Arabidopsis thaliana: one gene and its partners. The protein of the gene in region 1 interacts with the protein of each later gene in a pairwise test. Each region holds a gene or a part of one and is shown in the gene's direction. Other genes may lie near its edges.

Region 1 (7,401 bases):
AGAGCTGATTTTGCTCAGGAGGTTGCTGTTTGGCATAAATTGGATCATCCTAATGTCACCAAGGTTCATATTTCACTTCTGTTTACTTTTTACCATTGTTATATATTGAGGATATAAATAAGATTTGGGTCATCAATGAATGTATATTTTGCAGTTTATAGGAGCAACAATGGGTGCATCAGGGTTACAGTTGCAAACAGAGAGTGGTCCATTAGCTATGCCAAACAATATATGTTGTGTTGTTGTTGAATATCTTCCAGGTGGTGCTTTAAAATCTTACCTGATCAAGAACAGAAGAAGAAAACTAACATTTAAAATTGTTGTTCAGCTCGCTCTTGATCTCGCTAGAGGGTACATTATATTCTCCCTTCTTTCGCTGCCTTCTCAAGTCGTTTATCTGCTCTAATGGTTATTGTTATGTTGCTTTTAGGTTGAGTTACCTTCATTCGCAGAAGATTGTTCACCGAGATGTAAAGACAGAGAATATGTTGTTAGACAAAACCCGGACTGTTAAAATCGCAGATTTTGGAGTTGCGAGAGTTGAAGCATCTAACCCTAATGACATGACAGGAGAGACTGGCACACTTGGCTACATGGCGCCTGAGGTACTATAGTGATAATGCATCATCAAGATTGGTAACAAACCAACTTTTTATAACAAATAAACTTTGGCTGCAGGTTCTCAATGGAAACCCGTATAATCGAAAATGCGATGTATACAGTTTCGGGATCTGCTTATGGGAGATATATTGCTGTGACATGCCATACCCTGACCTTACTTTCTCTGAGGTCACTTCAGCCGTCGTCCGCCAGGTATGGTTGAATAGATTAAGCAAAGAAAAGTTAATTTAATTGAAATGTGCATATTGGTTGTTTCACAATTATATTTTGTTGTAAATCTTGAGGAATCACTGAAGTAAAAAATGTGATCTAGAGTAGTGTAACCATTTCATCATTTCACTGAAGTAAAAAATCTATATGCAATATGCTGCTACATATGATCAATGCAGAACCTGAGACCCGATATACCGAGGTGTTGCCCGAGCGCACTTGCAGCTGTGATGAAGCGATGTTGGGATGCAAATCCGGACAAGAGACCGGAGATGGATGAGGTTGTACCAATGTTGGAGAGTATTGACACAACCAAGGGAGGAGGGATGATTCCTAACGACCAGCAACAGGGTTGCCTATGCTTCCGAAGGAAACGTGGTCCTTAATTCCCAAAGACCAATCTAAGATCATTCAAAACTCAAGATTCGTGTCCTTGCTTCTTTTCTTTTTCTTTTTATAATCCAGAAGGAAAAAAAATGGGAAGGCTTGTTAGGGATCTAATGGTTGCTAAAATTTACGTAAAGAGTATGATTTGGTTTCCATATTCTTCAACATTTCTTGTTTTGCTCTATTTGTGAGAGTTGCTTATTAAATATTTATGGTCACGTATATCATCATCTCTAATCATATATTTGATATAGCTAGTCAATGGTACAACTGTTCTTTTTGTCTTTATGGGTTAACCAACTACACTCGACAGGAACATCCTATTTGATATATATAGTCCAATGTTCAGCTATGATAAACCTCACTTCCCATAGAAGGACCATTAGGTTGGAATGCATAGTCGAGAAACAACTTTGTTGAAGATATTATTGCTACTTCAGTATTGTCTTTTGGTTTAATAGAGTAGATCTAGTCAATAGCTACTAATCTTAGCTTAGTCCACATTTCTTTGCCCCATTATGGTCTAATCTTAGCTTAGTCAACATTTCTTTGCCCCATTATGGTCTTTTTGTAACCTTAGGTTATCTTCTCTCTTTGTATAACTATGGGTCTAACGCCTCATTAACAATAACACAAGTTAACAATAACGTATTATTGAGACTAGAAGCTTGTGCTAATAATGTTTCTTAGAAGTCTAGTGTTTAGTGCCAAATTGTATAGTGTGTTTAAGAACACTGATTATAAATAATAATAGCAGTTGGCGACACCACAATGAAACTATATCTATATCATTCATTCATTACCAAACAAATAAATAAGTATTGTCTTCATTGTCAAAAATTTAGTAATAAGAAAAAAGCGTTGGGGAACTACTAATGACAAATGAATTAAGAGTAATGACAGGTAAGAGGTTGTTTTCGTGGTGACGTCAATCGGTGCACAAAGTAACGCTGATATAGCGAAACGTAGACAACTGTCCCCTCTGCTCCTTCCTCATCAAGCCTCTTCTCTTCACTGCTTCTTCTTCTAGTTTACTCTCCAATTTTCTTCTGCTGCTGCTTCTTCACAAGGTTTCTATTTCTTCTAATCTGTGTATAATCTCTCCTCTCTGCTCTTCTTACTTAAACAGAATCATTTTTAAAACTCTGCTCTTGATTTTAGCTTTAAAAACGAGGTCTTTTTGTTGGGTTTTTGTTCTGTTTCGCCTTCTTTCTTCATTTACGAGCTTTTTGAGCTTAAAGTTCGTGACTTTTGCTGCTTTCGTGATTTGGGTTTCAGTAACTTTGCGGTTTATTGAAGTTTTTTTGGTGTAAAGTTACAACTGTGGGTTTAGCTCAAAACGAGGTCTTTACCTCTGTTTTTATGTTTTCTACTTATTGAGCTCAAATTTCGTAGCTTTTGATTCTTCTGTGATTTGGGTTTCAGTCACTTTTCGGGTTAGTGAAGTTTTTGGTGTAGAGTTTTGGTTTTTATTGTTTTTGCAACTGTGGGTTAGCTCAAAACGAGGTCTTTTTCTTGTTTTCTGCTTCTTGAGCTCAAATTTCGTGAGTTTTGCTTCTTCTGTGATTTGGGTTTCAGTCACTTTCTCGTTATGTGAAGTTTTTGGTTTAAAGTTTTGATTTTTATTTTTTTGTTGCAGAGGTTGAAGAATGTCAGCTCCGAAATCGGGTGGTGATCCACTACCACATCCGCCGAAAGAACAGCTTCCAGATATCTCTTACTGCATTACAAGTCCTCCTCCATGGCGTTAGTTTCTCTCTTCTTTTCCTTTTCCCTTAACGTTTGACTTCTAGCTTTTGTTCTAGGCATATCCCTGGTTTTGAAGCCTTGTGATTGATTAGCTTCTTCCATTTTTACTTTTTCTGATTTTGGTATCATTTACTTTTTGCTTTTTGTTGCAACGTGAGGATTGGATTCTTACTTTTCTCTTTAAGAAATATTCGTTTTTACCTTGAGAATCTCCTACTAGGTGTTTTGAGGATCATTCTTTGCTAACAAAGGAAATTAAACTTAATCCACCCCTTGGTTTTGCTATATGTTCAATCTAACTTTTATTTTTAGTGTTACTGTATGTTTCTAATTTGGTAGTTGGTTTTTGAATAATTCTTGTTTGAATATGAGGTTTTAAGCTTCTTAATTAGTAAATGTGAGACTGAGTTTATTCTTGTCTTACAGCTGAGGCTGTTCTGCTTGGGTTTCAACACTACCTTGTGATGCTTGGAACAACAGTTCTGATTCCATCGGCTCTTGTTCCACAAATGGGAGGTAGAAATGTAAGTTAAGTCTCTTTTCTAGAAAGATAGTTGTTCACATTATTCTTTTCAGTCTTTCATTGTACTTAAAGTTTATGATTTTGGCAGGAAGAGAAGGCAAAGCTGATCCAGACAATATTGTTTGTAGCTGGATTGAACACACTGCTCCAAACTGTGTTTGGAACTAGATTACCTGCTGTTATTGGAGCATCTTATACATTTGTCCCGGTTACTATCTCAATCATGCTTTCTGGGAGATTCAATGACGTTGCAGATCCAGTTGAGGTTCGTAGCTCACACTTATCCCCTAATTGAATTGTGTTATTATCTATTTAGTGTACTATCACTATCAATAAAGTTATGCTTGAATATGAAGTTTTACTCTAAATTACCTTTTTGATACCTTATCAGCGATTTAAGAGGATAATTCGGGCAACCCAAGGTGCTCTTATTGTTGCTTCAACTCTTCAAATTATCCTTGGCTTCAGTGGCCTTTGGCGTAATGTTGTAAGGTCAGTCTTTGAGCTACATTAGACTCAAATCTTGTTCCACTGTGTCAGGTTAAAGAATATGATATTGAACTTCTGTTCGTCCAGGTTCTTAAGTCCACTATCTGCTGCTCCTTTGGTTGGATTAGTTGGTTATGGCCTGTACGAGTTAGGTTTTCCCGGTGTAAGTCTCTTTGTTCTGTAAATGGGAACAGATAAACTAAATTATATCAACCTAGTGGAATCTTGATTCTTTGTTATTTTGGCCAGGTTGCTAAGTGTATTGAGATTGGACTGCCTGGGCTTATTATTCTCATACTAATATCACAGGTAATTGTAGGTAAAGATTCATAACTGGTAGCAATTTGCAGCCGGCTCATCTGTTCTCATTGCATAAGTTATTGATCCGGATGTGTTCTTCCAGTATGTTGATGTTTCTAATCATCTGGGTCATACTTTTTGCTGGTTTTGTAGTACATGCCCCATGTTATAAAAGGAGGAAAACATGTGTTTGCTCGCTTTGCTGTCATATTTTCTGTGGCGATAGTATGGCTTTATGCTTTCTTTCTTACACTTGGTGGTGCCTATAATGGTGTTGGGACAGATACTCAAAGAAGCTGTCGGACTGATCGCGCTGGGCTTATAAGTGCTGCTCCATGGTAAGAATTTCAGAACAAGGCTTGAACATTGAATGTCTCGCTGAGTTATGTTAGCAAAAAAGTATTTTCTTTAATGACCTGTCAGTGAATACAAGTGTGGCTTAGCATTTTACGCTTATTAATTGTGCAGGATAAGAGTTCCGTGGCCTTTCCAATGGGGAGCACCATTGTTTGATGCTGGTGAAGCATTTGCCATGATGATGGCTTCTTTTGTTGCTCTTGTTGAGGTTTGTTTCACTCATCTTCACCTTTTTTAAATGACATTAGACAATTATTTATGATATGCATAGATTTTCATATCCATTTATATAGAAAGGCTGTCCTTAATAGATGAATTTCATAGGTTGCATACTCATTAACTTTTAAAGTCAATGAGACTCTCTCTTCATTCTTTCGAATTTTCTTGCTCTTTGGTTTAATCTCATCTTGCTTACTCATTATGTTGACTTGTTTGTCAACAAAAAACAGTCCACAGGTGCTTTTATTGCCGTCTCAAGATATGCTAGTGCCACAATGCCGCCACCTTCTGTTATCAGCCGCGGGGTTGGTTGGCAGGTAAATACTCACTTCATAAGCTTCATTTTACAAATACCATCTCGAGGTTTTCTCGGGGCAAGCAAGTGGCCATTTATCTAACGTTGTGCCTCAACTATGTTCTCTTCTGGTTTAGGGAGTTGCAATTTTAATCTCAGGGTTGTTCGGAACTGGTATAGGGTCTTCAGTTTCTGTGTAAGACCTCCTATCCTTTTCCCAAATCTAGGACATGAGCTGATTTTGAATGGTGTGGTGAGTTTGTTTTCACATGAATGCAGCGAGAATGCGGGTCTGCTGGCACTAACAAAAATTGGTAGCAGGAGAGTTGTTCAAATATCTGCAGGCTTTATGATATTCTTCTCAATTCTTGGTAAGCTTGTCTCTCTCACAAAAATTCATTAAGAATTGAAGTGGACTACGTTAAGTAATCGTCTTAAATAAAACTAATGCAGGGAAGTTCGGGGCAGTATTTGCATCCATACCTTCTCCTATCATAGCTGCCTTGTACTGTCTCTTCTTTGCGTATGTAGGTAAGTATTGTTTCTTTTTTAGCTTGGTTTAGATTGAAGCAATTTGGTTCAGATTGGTTTGCTTACCAACATATAGAGCTAGAGACTTGTTTTAGCTATGAGCATCTTTAATACAAAAACTGTTGTATAGGTGCTGGAGGACTGAGTTTGCTGCAATTCTGCAACCTGAATAGCTTCAGGACATTATTCATACTGGGCTTCTCAATCTTCCTAGGCCTATCAATTCCACAATATTTCAACGAGCACACAGCCATCAAAGGCTATGGTCCAGTTCATACCGGGGCAAGATGGTTCAACGACATGGTCAATGTGCCCTTCTCGTCCAAGGCCTTTGTGGGAGGATGTGTGGCTTACTTGTTGGACACGACGCTTCACAAGAAAGATGGTTCGATCAGGAAAGACCGAGGTAAACACTGGTGGGACAGATTCTGGACTTTCAAGAACGACCCGAGAACAGAAGAGTTCTATGCTCTTCCGTTCAACCTCAACAAATATTTCCCTTCTGTCTGAAAAAAAATCCTTCCAAACTTTATGGAATGCTGTTTTGCTAGTTTTGTGTCCCTTAGGAGGACACACCTTATCTAGCTAGGTTTTATGTGCATATTCGGTGAGGAGACTATAAAACGCAACTAGATATTATAACCCAAAGTGTTAAGTAACATTTTAGAAATATTAATGTGATGTTTCTTCTATGTTTAGATGTTTTGCATTAAAGATGATACTCGTTTTGCCAAATTTAGAACTAGAGTATGTATGCTCTGTTTTAATACAAATGATTAAAAGAGAAAATTTTGTGAGTTTTGGAGGCTTTTCGATTCTAATTCTATAACAAAAAAAATTTCCTACAAAAATTTGTAATGCTAGATTTGACGTTGAAACTCTTATGATATACTTTTGAAGATAAGTAGGGGTTCATGTGCTTCATTCTCTGTCGTCCATTTAAACACTTCTTTGGTTGCATATAACTAGTTGATAGGAAGTTAACGATAACTAAAAGTCTAAAACAGATGGTTAGCCACAACGATGAGTATTTGCACACAAAAAACAGAGCCTCAATGATGAATGGGTTTTGTATTTAGTTGTGTTATACTGTATTTGTTTTGTTTGATTGGTAGAATAATATGTGCTTGTTTGTGGCACATATATAAATACATTTTTGACTGATAAAATTTAAAGACGTCATTAGCTAAATCGGTTACCACTTACCACCTTAGGTTAAGGTATAAGAAGTTATAAACTATTGTGAGTTACTTAATAATAATCTACGGATCAAAAATGTTAGAATCCAAAAAAGTGCACTAGTTCGAAATCATTTATGCGGGTCTATACATATAATTCGTAGGAGGTTACTTGAAATGATCCCAACCAATTTGTTCATATTATCTATGCTTAGTGATTTGGTTTAAGACAAAAAAAATTACCCTAACCAATATGGTTAAATTCTCAACTTATCTCGAAAAAAGGGTAGGCAAGTGTCCTACACTATAGAAATGGATAATGTTGATTTTATTGTTTTCTAATTAAAACATTGCTAAAATAGAGATCTGAAGAAAATAAAGAGGACGAAACTGTAAAGTGTAAAAACATTGATGGAGACAAGAAAGCAGAAAAAAAGAGTTACATTTTACTTTCTAGTAAGAAAAAAAAAACATGAATATTAATTATTTTTGTACATAAATATAAGAAGACAAAACAGAAAATTAAAAATAAAAAATAATCC
Region 2 (4,645 bases), about 12 Mb from region 1:
GTTAGTGTTGAACTTTCGATTTTAGATCTACTTATTAGGTTTTTCTACAAATTTTCCACCAAAATCTAAAATTTAGAAAAAAATTGAAGAGTGTATATATGTTTTCATGTTATTTAATCGATGATTTTTAAATGTGTTTTTCTTTGTCATGTAATATACACGAGTTCGAATTCGGATAGTAACACATCCGTGACAGTAGCCCAAATTAAATCACTAATCATCTTTTTTTGTTAAAGCCTTGAAGGACTTCCAAATCATCAATAATATCTTCTCAAATGTGTAATTAGTGAACTTGAAACTTTTGAAAAATAATTTGAAATATCTCGTTATACGATTAATTATATGAAAATTCATAGAAAATGTGATGCTAATAGGAATATAGCAATTTGGGGGAAAAATCTAATGAAAAAGGATTTTATGAAACTTCATATATTATTACTATTTTTTGTTAAACATGAAATTTGGAGTGACTTCAAACAAATTAAAAATATGAAATCTCCCATATATACAACATCAACGTAAAAAAACAAAAAAAAAGCCTCATTCATGCCTCGTTATCGTCGGATTCTATCGTATTGATCTCTTCATGGTAGTCTCCATTATTCATCTTGACCATTCGTTGTTCTCATGTCTCTCTTAATCTCCGGTTAAGCTCTGATTCTCACTTTGATCTCTTGTTCGATCTTTCTACTATTATTATTGCATTTACTATTTAAAATTTTATATCCTAGTAGTTGGATCTCTAATCTCTTATTAACAAATTATTGACGTAGATGACAAAAAAATAAAAAAAATCATTGACGTTAATCTTACACATTATGTTCTGTGAGGTAGTAGAACAATTTTGGAGGTAACACTTTTCTTTCACAGTTGTTGTCTTCGTCAAAACTATGGGCCTAGAGGTATCTAACTTTTGATACGAAAATTCTCCTTAGCAGCATTTTAAAAAAATCATAAGAGCCCACTGAATCTCAAGCCTTTTTATAATCATTAGAATATATTTGATATTTATTAAAAGCCCACTAATTTTAAAATCCACCAAAATAATCAAAATCCTTAATCCAATAGACCCTTAAATAGTTAAATTATTTAGAAACTCTAACAAATTCTTTTATTTAACAACCTTCCTAAGCTTAAAGTTTGTAATTGTTTTGTATTTTTCCCAAAGTTTTAGTATCTTGATATTTTAAGATCGTTCTATAAATAGATTTGATTTTGTAAGTTGTTTATATTGTTACTAGGCCTTTGTATAAATACCAAATACTTTGATTATTTTTTTACTGATTTCATGTCAAACAAAATTCCAAACAACTTAAAGGAAAAAGCTTACTCGATTGGAATAAAAATTGTACGTTTAACAAAATGATATTAGTGAAATAAATAAACCAGCTCAACATTTAAGGATTTCTACGTGTATATACAGTAATCGTGTTTAGTATTAATTAGCTATAGTTTAGCCTCAAAAAACAAAGATCCAAAACAACATGACGAAATTGACTTCCACATCGTGTCCTTTCTCGTCGACATAAAAACTTTAATATATAGATGCATGTATAAGTATACTCACTATTTGTGTCATTAGTATTTTCTTTTTTGATACTTGGAGCTAATGACAAAAATTCCGCTAGAAATATCTTCTCCAACGATAGCTACAAACAAATACTACCATTGCGTCATCATCACTTATTTATATTCGATATTTCAGTCAACAACACTAATCTCTTTCACCAAAATCTTTGGACTATTATTACAAATGAATTAAAAACTTGGACCCTTAATAACATATTTGTTTCATTAAATCTATACAACTCTTATTAAAAATGATATTTTCTTAAATCAAAAATTAATCAAAATTAAGGTAGGCTCTAGAGGATTGCATCATTTGCCCACCCACATTAGCCTGCCATTATTATTGGACGGTAACAAATTTCCTTACACCAATAAATGGTAAGTTACAATTATTATTAACATTTCTATATAAAATAGTTTGGTTATTTACATTAATTTTTATTTAATACTATAAACTTAAAAATTCAATGCTGAAAAGTGTAACGGAAAGAGGGACATTAAATATATGTTAATATAATAAGTATATTTACTATTTAAAAAAGACTTATGTAAATACATATTGTATAGAGAGAAAAATAACCCATAGTATAAAAACTTGCATCTCTAAAACCGCAGCATTGATAATAAGAGTCTCTTTCTTCTTAAGTATCTCTTAATTAACCCACATAATATATTTACAAGTGGCCGCCTCATACATCCCCTCTCAAGTCCTTTGCTTCATTTCTTATAAAACTAAACCACCTTCTTCTTCATCATTCATCACCAATCTATCTCATATTCCATATACTGAATATGGACTCATTCTACTTCTGTATATACACATGGGATCCAAACTTAAACTTTACCCTCTCTTAAATCACTCATCCGTTTTTCACCCAGACAGTCGTTACCAATCGGCCCCTACAATGGAGGAAGAGCAACAACAACTTCGTGTTCTCTTCGCGAAATACGAGATGGGAAGGTTACTAGGCAAAGGAACATTCGGAAAAGTTTATTACGGCAAAGAGATAACAACCGGAGAAAGCGTTGCAATCAAAATCATCAACAAAGATCAAGTCAAACGTGAAGGTATGATGGAACAAATCAAACGAGAGATCTCAATCATGAGACTTGTTCGTCATCCAAACATCGTTGAGTTAAAAGAAGTCATGGCTACAAAAACAAAGATCTTCTTTATCATGGAATACGTTAAAGGCGGTGAACTTTTCTCCAAGATCGTTAAAGGAAAGCTTAAAGAAGACTCTGCTCGTAAGTATTTCCAACAATTAATCTCAGCCGTTGATTTTTGTCATAGTAGAGGCGTTTCTCACCGAGATCTAAAACCGGAGAATCTCTTAGTTGACGAGAACGGAGATCTTAAGGTTTCAGATTTTGGTCTCTCTGCTTTACCGGAACAGATTTTACAAGACGGTTTGCTTCATACTCAGTGTGGAACTCCGGCGTATGTTGCACCGGAGGTTTTGAGGAAGAAAGGTTACGACGGAGCTAAAGGTGATATTTGGTCGTGTGGTATTATCTTGTACGTGCTTCTCGCTGGATTCTTACCGTTTCAAGATGAGAACCTAATGAAAATGTATCGGAAGATCTTCAAATCGGAGTTTGAGTATCCGCCGTGGTTTTCACCGGAGTCCAAGAGGTTGATTTCAAAGCTTTTAGTTGTTGATCCTAACAAACGGATCTCGATACCGGCGATTATGCGAACACCGTGGTTTCGTAAAAACATCAACTCTCCGATCGAGTTCAAGATCGATGAGCTCGAGATCCAAAACGTAGAAGACGAAACACCAACAACAACAGCAACAACAGCAACAACAACAACAACACCGGTCTCGCCGAAGTTCTTTAACGCGTTTGAATTCATCTCTTCTATGTCATCAGGATTTGATCTATCAAGTTTGTTCGAGAGTAAGAGGAAGCTGAGATCTATGTTTACGTCACGGTGGTCGGCGTCGGAGATAATGGGGAAGCTTGAAGGGATAGGGAAAGAGATGAATATGAAGGTGAAGAGGACTAAAGACTTTAAGGTGAAGTTGTTTGGGAAAACGGAAGGGAGGAAAGGACAGATCGCGGTGACTGCTGAGGTTTTCGAGGTTGCGCCGGAAGTCGCCGTCGTTGAGTTGTGTAAGTCGGCGGGAGATACTTTGGAGTATAATAGGTTGTATGAAGAACATGTCCGGCCAGCGTTGGAGGAGATAGTGTGGTCGTGGCACGGTGATAATCATAATAATAATATTGTTAAGAGTAATGGTAATTATGTTAGTGATGAAAATTCTGGTAGTGACTGCTAAGAGAATGTAATGATAGTTATGTAAATTAAACTGTGTATTTTTGTTAATCAGTTGTTAGATTCAAGGAAGTTTTTGTATATTGTGTATATAGAAGTTGAGGTTTATTTTATTCTCTTTGAGCAACTTATTTTAATCATTTAGATTATTTACTAAAAGTAGATATAGTTTCGCCTTATGCGCCATGATGATGAATTTGTTAGAATCCGACTTATGGCCATATCTCGTTGATGTTAGGAAAACGGTAGATTCTTGGATCGAACTGATAAAAACGGTTTATGAGATCAGTGTATTATGTCGTATTCGAAAAAGTTTTAAAAGATGTTAATCACTTTTTACATGAGTATTGTAGGTGTTTTAGTTCCGGGAGCCCTGGAGCCATCATCCCTTTTACTAAACATGCTCAAGTATGTAGGATGATACTTTATGTTTCGCTGATCAACCATTAATTATAATCGCTTAAAAACATATTTCGATGCCAACCATTCTTTTTTCGACAACTATACCGGGTTACATGGACTATTTCACTAGAACAAAAATTGTTAATTTTATATTATATCCGCCTAAAAAGTAATATAATGGATCGTCTATAGTTTTACGGACGATCCAAACCAATTATCCAACAAGTATATCTACAAATTAGGATAAGATATTTTCTATAAATACCATTTTATCACATCTAGTAGAAATAATGGAGTAATAGAAGTTTGCTAATAGATATTCGCTAATGAAAATTGTCATCTTTGTACTCATATCTCACATCCATACCACAGTCCACGTATAAATAAACA
Region 3 (5,727 bases), about 17 Mb from region 1:
AGGCATGGTATTTGTCACAATGATCTTCGCCATGCTCGGATTTCTCTCCCCTTCCAATCGGGGTGGTCTGATGACTGCAATGCTCTTGCTCTGGGTCTTCATGGGACTCTTTGCTGGTTACGCCTCTTCACGTCTCTACAAAATGTTCAAAGGAACAGAGTGGAAGAGAATCGCTTTCAGAACAGCCTTCTTGTTTCCTGCAGTTGTGTCAGCAATCTTCTTTGTCCTAAACGCTCTCATCTGGGGACAGAAGTCATCTGGGGCTGTCCCCTTTGGAACAATGTTCGCCTTGATCTTCCTCTGGTTTGGCATCTCAGTTCCTCTCGTCTTTGTTGGGGGTTACATTGGGTTCAAGAAGCCAGCGGCTGATGACCCAGTGAAAACCAACAAAATCCCGAGGCAAATCCCAGAGCAAGCTTGGTACATGAACCCGGTTTTCTCAATCCTCATTGGAGGAATCTTACCGTTTGGTGCAGTCTTCATCGAGCTCTTCTTCATCCTCACATCCATCTGGCTCAACCAGTTCTACTACATCTTTGGGTTCCTCTTCCTCGTCTTTGTAATCCTCATTGTGACTTGCGCCGAGATAACCGTAGTACTCTGCTACTTCCAGCTTTGCAGTGAGGACTACCTTTGGTGGTGGAGATCATACCTCACATCAGGCTCATCAGCTCTCTACCTCTTCCTCTATGCCACGTTCTACTTCTTCACAAAGCTTCAGATCACCAAACTGGTCTCTGCGATGCTTTACTTTGGGTACATGCTCATCGCCTCCTACGCATTTTTTGTGCTCACAGGAACAATAGGGTTCTATGCTTGTCTCTGGTTCACAAGGCTCATCTATTCCTCTGTTAAGATCGATTAGAGGATATGATGATCATCATGGCGATTAAGGAAACAAAGAAGAAAAGGTGATCATAGTTTATCTTATTTTTCTTTTTAAAATCGGTTTTGTTGCATTTTAGGTTCTATTTTGTTGCATACCAAAAGAGATTTTAATATATGTAATAGAGTGTATTTTGTTTGATTTGTCAAATAACAACACTTTCTGAGAATTTTTGCAATATAACCAATTTTTATAAATAAACTCAAATGAGAACAACAATCAATCATGGTTTGGTGATATCAAACTCTAACTTTTCCTGCAATCATAAAAGCTTTGTAAACGACGGAACGAACCAGATCAGAACCTCCCCAAGCGGTTTCAAGCTCTCTCACCAAACTCTCCGGTAACAACTCGACGCCTTTCTCTCTCGCCGTGACGATGGCCGACCATGATTTAAACATCCTTATGATCCCTTCAAACGACGTCGTTTTAGGCATCTCCAGCTTTAATGGCTCCCCTTCTGATCCCATCCCAACATTTTCGAAAGGAAACGGCAATGCTTCGTACGAATCGAAGATGTGCTGAATGTACGGATACTTCCAAAACGGCAGCGTTGTGGCGTGGAGCCGATACTGGACGGCGTCGAACTCTGGACTCACTATGACGTCGTTGTATCCCCAGACAGCGATGATTCCGCCTGGTTTACGGAGGAGTCGTGTGGCCACTGAGTAGAACCTAGGGAGATCGAACCAGTGTACGCCTTGGGCGACCGTGATTAGATCCACTGAGTTTTCTCCTCCGATTAATTCCACTAGCTCGTCGTCGGTCATTGACGTCGGCGTATGGCGATAATTGATTTTCGGATGTGGCGTTGCTAGCTTCAGCTGCGATTCACTCACGTCCGTTGCTACGACACTCTCGTAATGCTCTGCAACCTGCAAAATGGAGGCGAAATTTGTCAAATCCAAGATCTGATGCATGTTGTTGTGATCATTTACGAGCAAGAAGCTAAATCTGTTAAATCTAAGTTTGAAGCTCTATAAAAATTTATGAGCATCAAATACTGACGGCGAGAGCTGCTTGGCCATTTCCGGTGGCAGCATCCCAGGCTAAACCGTGGTGATCGGTGAGATCAGCGAGCTTCGAGAACCACTCAGAGGGGTAATTAGGTCTGGCGTCAAGGTATAGATCGGCTTGTTTATCAAACAATCCTGCCATTTTCTCTCTGTTTTGCTTCTTCTTTTCTTTCTCTCTTTTTTCTGATTAGTGTCTAGCCATGACTCTCTAGTCATATATAGTAGTCTTTTTAGCTTGTGGGAATCTCAAAGATAATGACCTCCAACGAAGCAGCATATCGCTTTCCTTCTCTATTTTTTAATTGGATTTTGAAGTAATTGTTTAGGTGTTTGTTGATGTTGATTAGGATTTTTGAGTTTCGGTGGGAAGATGAAACATTTGACTTTCTCTTTTTGCTTTCAAGATCTGTCAATCATACTATCGAGTTTGTGAATTTTGGCTAATAAAGCGATTTGGTTTCGTTTTTGTAGAATTTCAGACTGGTAGTTGAAGAAAGACGTCATTGCTTACAAAGTCAACAAGGTAAATGTCATTGTCAAGTGGGAAACTTTATAATATATCTTTTGTTTTTCCTCGTGTGTGAATGTCTAAACCTTTTTGAAAGTCTAAAAGGCATTTCCTTTACATTGAAAATAACGATTAAAGGCTCTTGCTCTCGATATTTTGATTTCAGATCCAATGTTCATCTCCTAAACAGTCAACACCATGGAAACACTAGAAACTGAGAAATTCTTCTCAGACGATAAACCTCTCCTAAAACCAATTTCAGATCATTCTGAGATCAAGACAAAAGCAAGAAGAAACGCTGTCGTCTCAGTTCTAATTCAGCCCTTCCAATGGTTACAAATGCTGAGTTCTAGGCTAAACCTGAGCTTCGTGCTAGGTGTGGTCCTTGTGTACGGTGTAAACCAAGGGTTCTCTGGTTCGATATTCAAAGTCGTCACAGACTATTACTGGAAAGATGTCCAGCAAGTGCAGCCATCGGTTGTGCAGCTTTACATGGGGTTATATTACATTCCATGGGTCATGAGACCCATTTGGGGTCTCTTCACCGATGTGTTCCCTATCAAAGGTTACAAAAGAAAGCCGTATTTTGTAGTTTCTGGTGTTCTTGGTTTGGTATCTGCGATTGCTATTGTTGTTCTTGGTAAGTTGCCCGCTGCTTTGGCTTTGAGCTGCCTCTTAGGTGTCTCTGCAGCTATGGCCATTGCAGATGTGGTGATTGATGCGTGTATAGCAACAAACAGCATCAATATCCGATCTTTGGCTCCTGATATACAGAGCCTTTGTATGGTTTGTTCATCTGCTGGCGCTTTGGTTGGATACGCAACTAGTGGAGTCTTCGTTCACCAGCTTGGACCTCAGGTTGAGCCTTTACACCTTTTTAGTCACGTTTTCAGGACGTGTTCCCTTTAGATATCGAGATTAGAAACTTGAAATCTCGTTTTTCTGTTTTGTTTTTTCTGATATAGGGAGCATTAGGGGTATTAGCATTTTCGCCTGCAACTATCGTCATACTTGGGTTTTTCATCTACGAGAAAAGATCTTCTACTGTTCCTACACAAAAGACCAAAAAGGTGAGGCCTTAGCCTGTAATCTCAACTCCTTTGATCTCTCTCACAAGTGACCAGAATTGGCGTCGCAGCAGAATAATCCAAACAGAAATTTTCCTTGTCTTTATTTGTTTCTGCCGGATTATTGAAAATTCATGCCTCTTGACTTTATCTCATGACTTGGAATCTTGATCGAACTCTTGAGCAATCGTTTGAATTTTCTTCAGGACACAGATGGCTTAGGAGTAGCGGTGAAGGGAATGTGCAAAACAGTAAAGTACCCTGAAGTGTGGAAGCCATCTCTTTACATGTTCATATCCTTAGCTCTCAACATCAGCACTCATGAAGGCCACTTCTACTGGTACACTGATCCTACAGCTGGGCCCGCCTTTTCCCAGGTTGGTTGTACAATCCTGAAGAAGCTCTTTTTAAAGATCTTGATTTAAAGAATAAAGATAGTGGTTAAACAGTTTGGGTCTTATATAGATTGAGTTCATAGGAACCAGTATAGTTACTAAACGACATGGGAAGCTAGCAAAAACAGGTTCCCATGGATCGCAAGCTCAAGATTGACACTGTGGTAGTATGTCATGATATTATGTGAATCATATTTCAGACTGTTTCGCTGGTTTATATTAATCTCCATGGAGTCACTTCTCTTGAAAGCCTATTTTAGCTAGGAAAAATCTTGTCTTTAGGTTTGTGAATATCTGCATGCCTTATGAAATGGTGTTGAAATTATGATTGTGTGGTAGTGTCACATTGACATATAAAGCTATGGAGTTTCTGAACAAGCTAATAAAATTCTTTATCCAATAATGTAATTATGAGCTAGATTCAAACTTGCTTATTTTGGTCTAAATGCAGGAGTTTGTGGGAATAATCTATGCAGTCGGGGCATTGGCATCTATGTTTGGAGTTCTCATATATCACAAGAAGCTCAAAGGCTATTCCTTTAGGAACATACTCTTCTTTGCACAACTTCTATACGTCTTCTCAGGAATGCTTGATCTAGTCTTCATCAAACGCTGGAACTTAACTCTCGGGATACCAGATTCCTTGTTTGTGATAACCGAAGAATCTTTCACGAAGATGATAAGTAAGATCAGGTGGATCCCCATGGTGGTTCTCAGTACAAGGCTTTGTCCTCTGGGAATCGAAGGCACCTTCTTTGCTTTCCTCATGTGCATTGATAGTTTTGGACAGCTTGCTTCTAAATGGGGTGGAGGGTTTGTTCTTCACGCTTTTGGTGTCACGAGACACGATTTCGGAAATCTCTGGCTCGTGATTCTGATAAGGAATATTTTGAGACTCGTCACTGTGTGTTTCGTTTTCCTCGTTCCAGATTCCGATCATTTGGATGATCTTGTACCTTCTGATGTGTTGCCAAAGAAACAATCAGAAGATGATGATGATGACGACATTAAACTTTTGCTTCTGTAAAGCTATTTTGTATAACATGAAACATTTCGAACAGTAAATGCCTAACATGAACAATTTCAAAGAAACAAAATCTACTAATCAGATGGAAACAGCTTGTAGTTTTTTCATATTTTAAAGGAAATACATGCCGTTTTGTCGTACTATATCTGATGTCACATGTTAAGCGACAGAGACCCTATGTTATTTTACGATTTTGCCCTCTTGTTGGGTTATACAGTATTCGTTTTTCTCTCTCAAACAGTGAAACTTCTTCTTCTTCTTCTCGTCTTCGTCGTCTAAACCTCAAACTCTGCTAGCGAAGTCACAATATCACTCGAAGATGGTAATCGATTTCTTCTCCTAACGTTCCTTTTGTGTAGTTTTAGTGATTCCTTAGTCAATCGCGAAGAAATTTGAGCAAATCCTTTTGGTTAGATCGTGTTAGGTTTTCGAATATCGTTCCTTACGCAGTTTGAATCTCAGTTTCTGATGATTTCTCGTTAGTTTACGGAACATAGAGAAGGAAATTCAAACTTGTTTTGATTGTCTCAGTTCTTATAAGCTGACTATTATCAACTTTCTTCTTTGTTGTGTAGGCTAATCACAACAGTAGTAGGCACACAATCATCTTGTTGCAGAATTCTCCGAGCAGAGCTACGAGGACTTTCATGGACTATGACTCTATAGGCCAAGCTATGGATGGTAATTATTAATTTCGAATCATCATTCTCTAACTAGTCTACTCATTGTTGACTTTGGTTATGATTATGTTGAGGTTTATCTTTGTGGCAACAAGATGGATGATTTTGAATTACGACATGTATATTATATAATTCTGTAGCTATTTCT

What was found.
Region 2: the proteins of AT5G49990 (region 1) and CIPK25 interact in a protein complementation assay, tested with the Arabidopsis thaliana proteins (one large-scale study listed by BioGRID).
Region 3: the proteins of AT5G49990 (region 1) and AT5G10820 interact in a protein complementation assay, tested with the Arabidopsis thaliana proteins (one large-scale study listed by BioGRID).

Annotation. Positions count from the first base shown.
Region 1 is NC_003076.8:20,336,654-20,344,054, reverse strand, and holds AT5G49990 (Xanthine/uracil permease family protein), read left to right. Parts: upstream 1-2,019; 5' UTR 2,020-2,288; exon of another isoform or gene 2,289-2,308; intron 2,309-2,348; exon of another isoform or gene 2,349-2,857; 5' UTR 2,858-2,867; coding exon 2,868-2,964; intron 2,965-3,393; coding exon 3,394-3,491; intron 3,492-3,578; coding exon 3,579-3,755; intron 3,756-3,881; coding exon 3,882-3,982; intron 3,983-4,066; coding exon 4,067-4,142; intron 4,143-4,228; coding exon 4,229-4,288; intron 4,289-4,432; coding exon 4,433-4,617; intron 4,618-4,747; coding exon 4,748-4,844; intron 4,845-5,085; coding exon 5,086-5,172; intron 5,173-5,287; coding exon 5,288-5,346; intron 5,347-5,429; coding exon 5,430-5,521; intron 5,522-5,603; coding exon 5,604-5,681; intron 5,682-5,811; coding exon 5,812-6,191; 3' UTR 6,192-6,469; downstream 6,470-7,401. Other genes in the region: AT5G50000 (Protein kinase superfamily protein), read left to right, coding at 1-63, 155-351, 431-605, 679-813, 1,011-1,217.
Region 2 is NC_003076.8:8,656,952-8,661,596, reverse strand, and holds CIPK25 (CBL-interacting protein kinase 25), read left to right. Parts: upstream 1-2,244; 5' UTR 2,245-2,390; coding exon 2,391-3,857; 3' UTR 3,858-3,993; downstream 3,994-4,645.
Region 3 is NC_003076.8:3,420,048-3,425,774, reverse strand, and holds AT5G10820 (Major facilitator superfamily protein), read left to right. Parts: upstream 1-2,475; 5' UTR 2,476-2,608; coding exon 2,609-3,268; intron 3,269-3,375; coding exon 3,376-3,480; intron 3,481-3,683; coding exon 3,684-3,854; intron 3,855-4,323; coding exon 4,324-4,899; 3' UTR 4,900-5,075; downstream 5,076-5,727. Other genes in the region: EMP1 (Endomembrane protein 70 protein family), read left to right, coding at 1-865; AT5G10830 (S-adenosyl-L-methionine-dependent methyltransferases superfamily protein), read right to left, coding at 1,126-1,761, 1,895-2,044; ER (enhancer of rudimentary protein), read left to right, coding at 5,219-5,221, 5,475-5,580. UniProt on the Arabidopsis thaliana protein: Could mediate folate transport.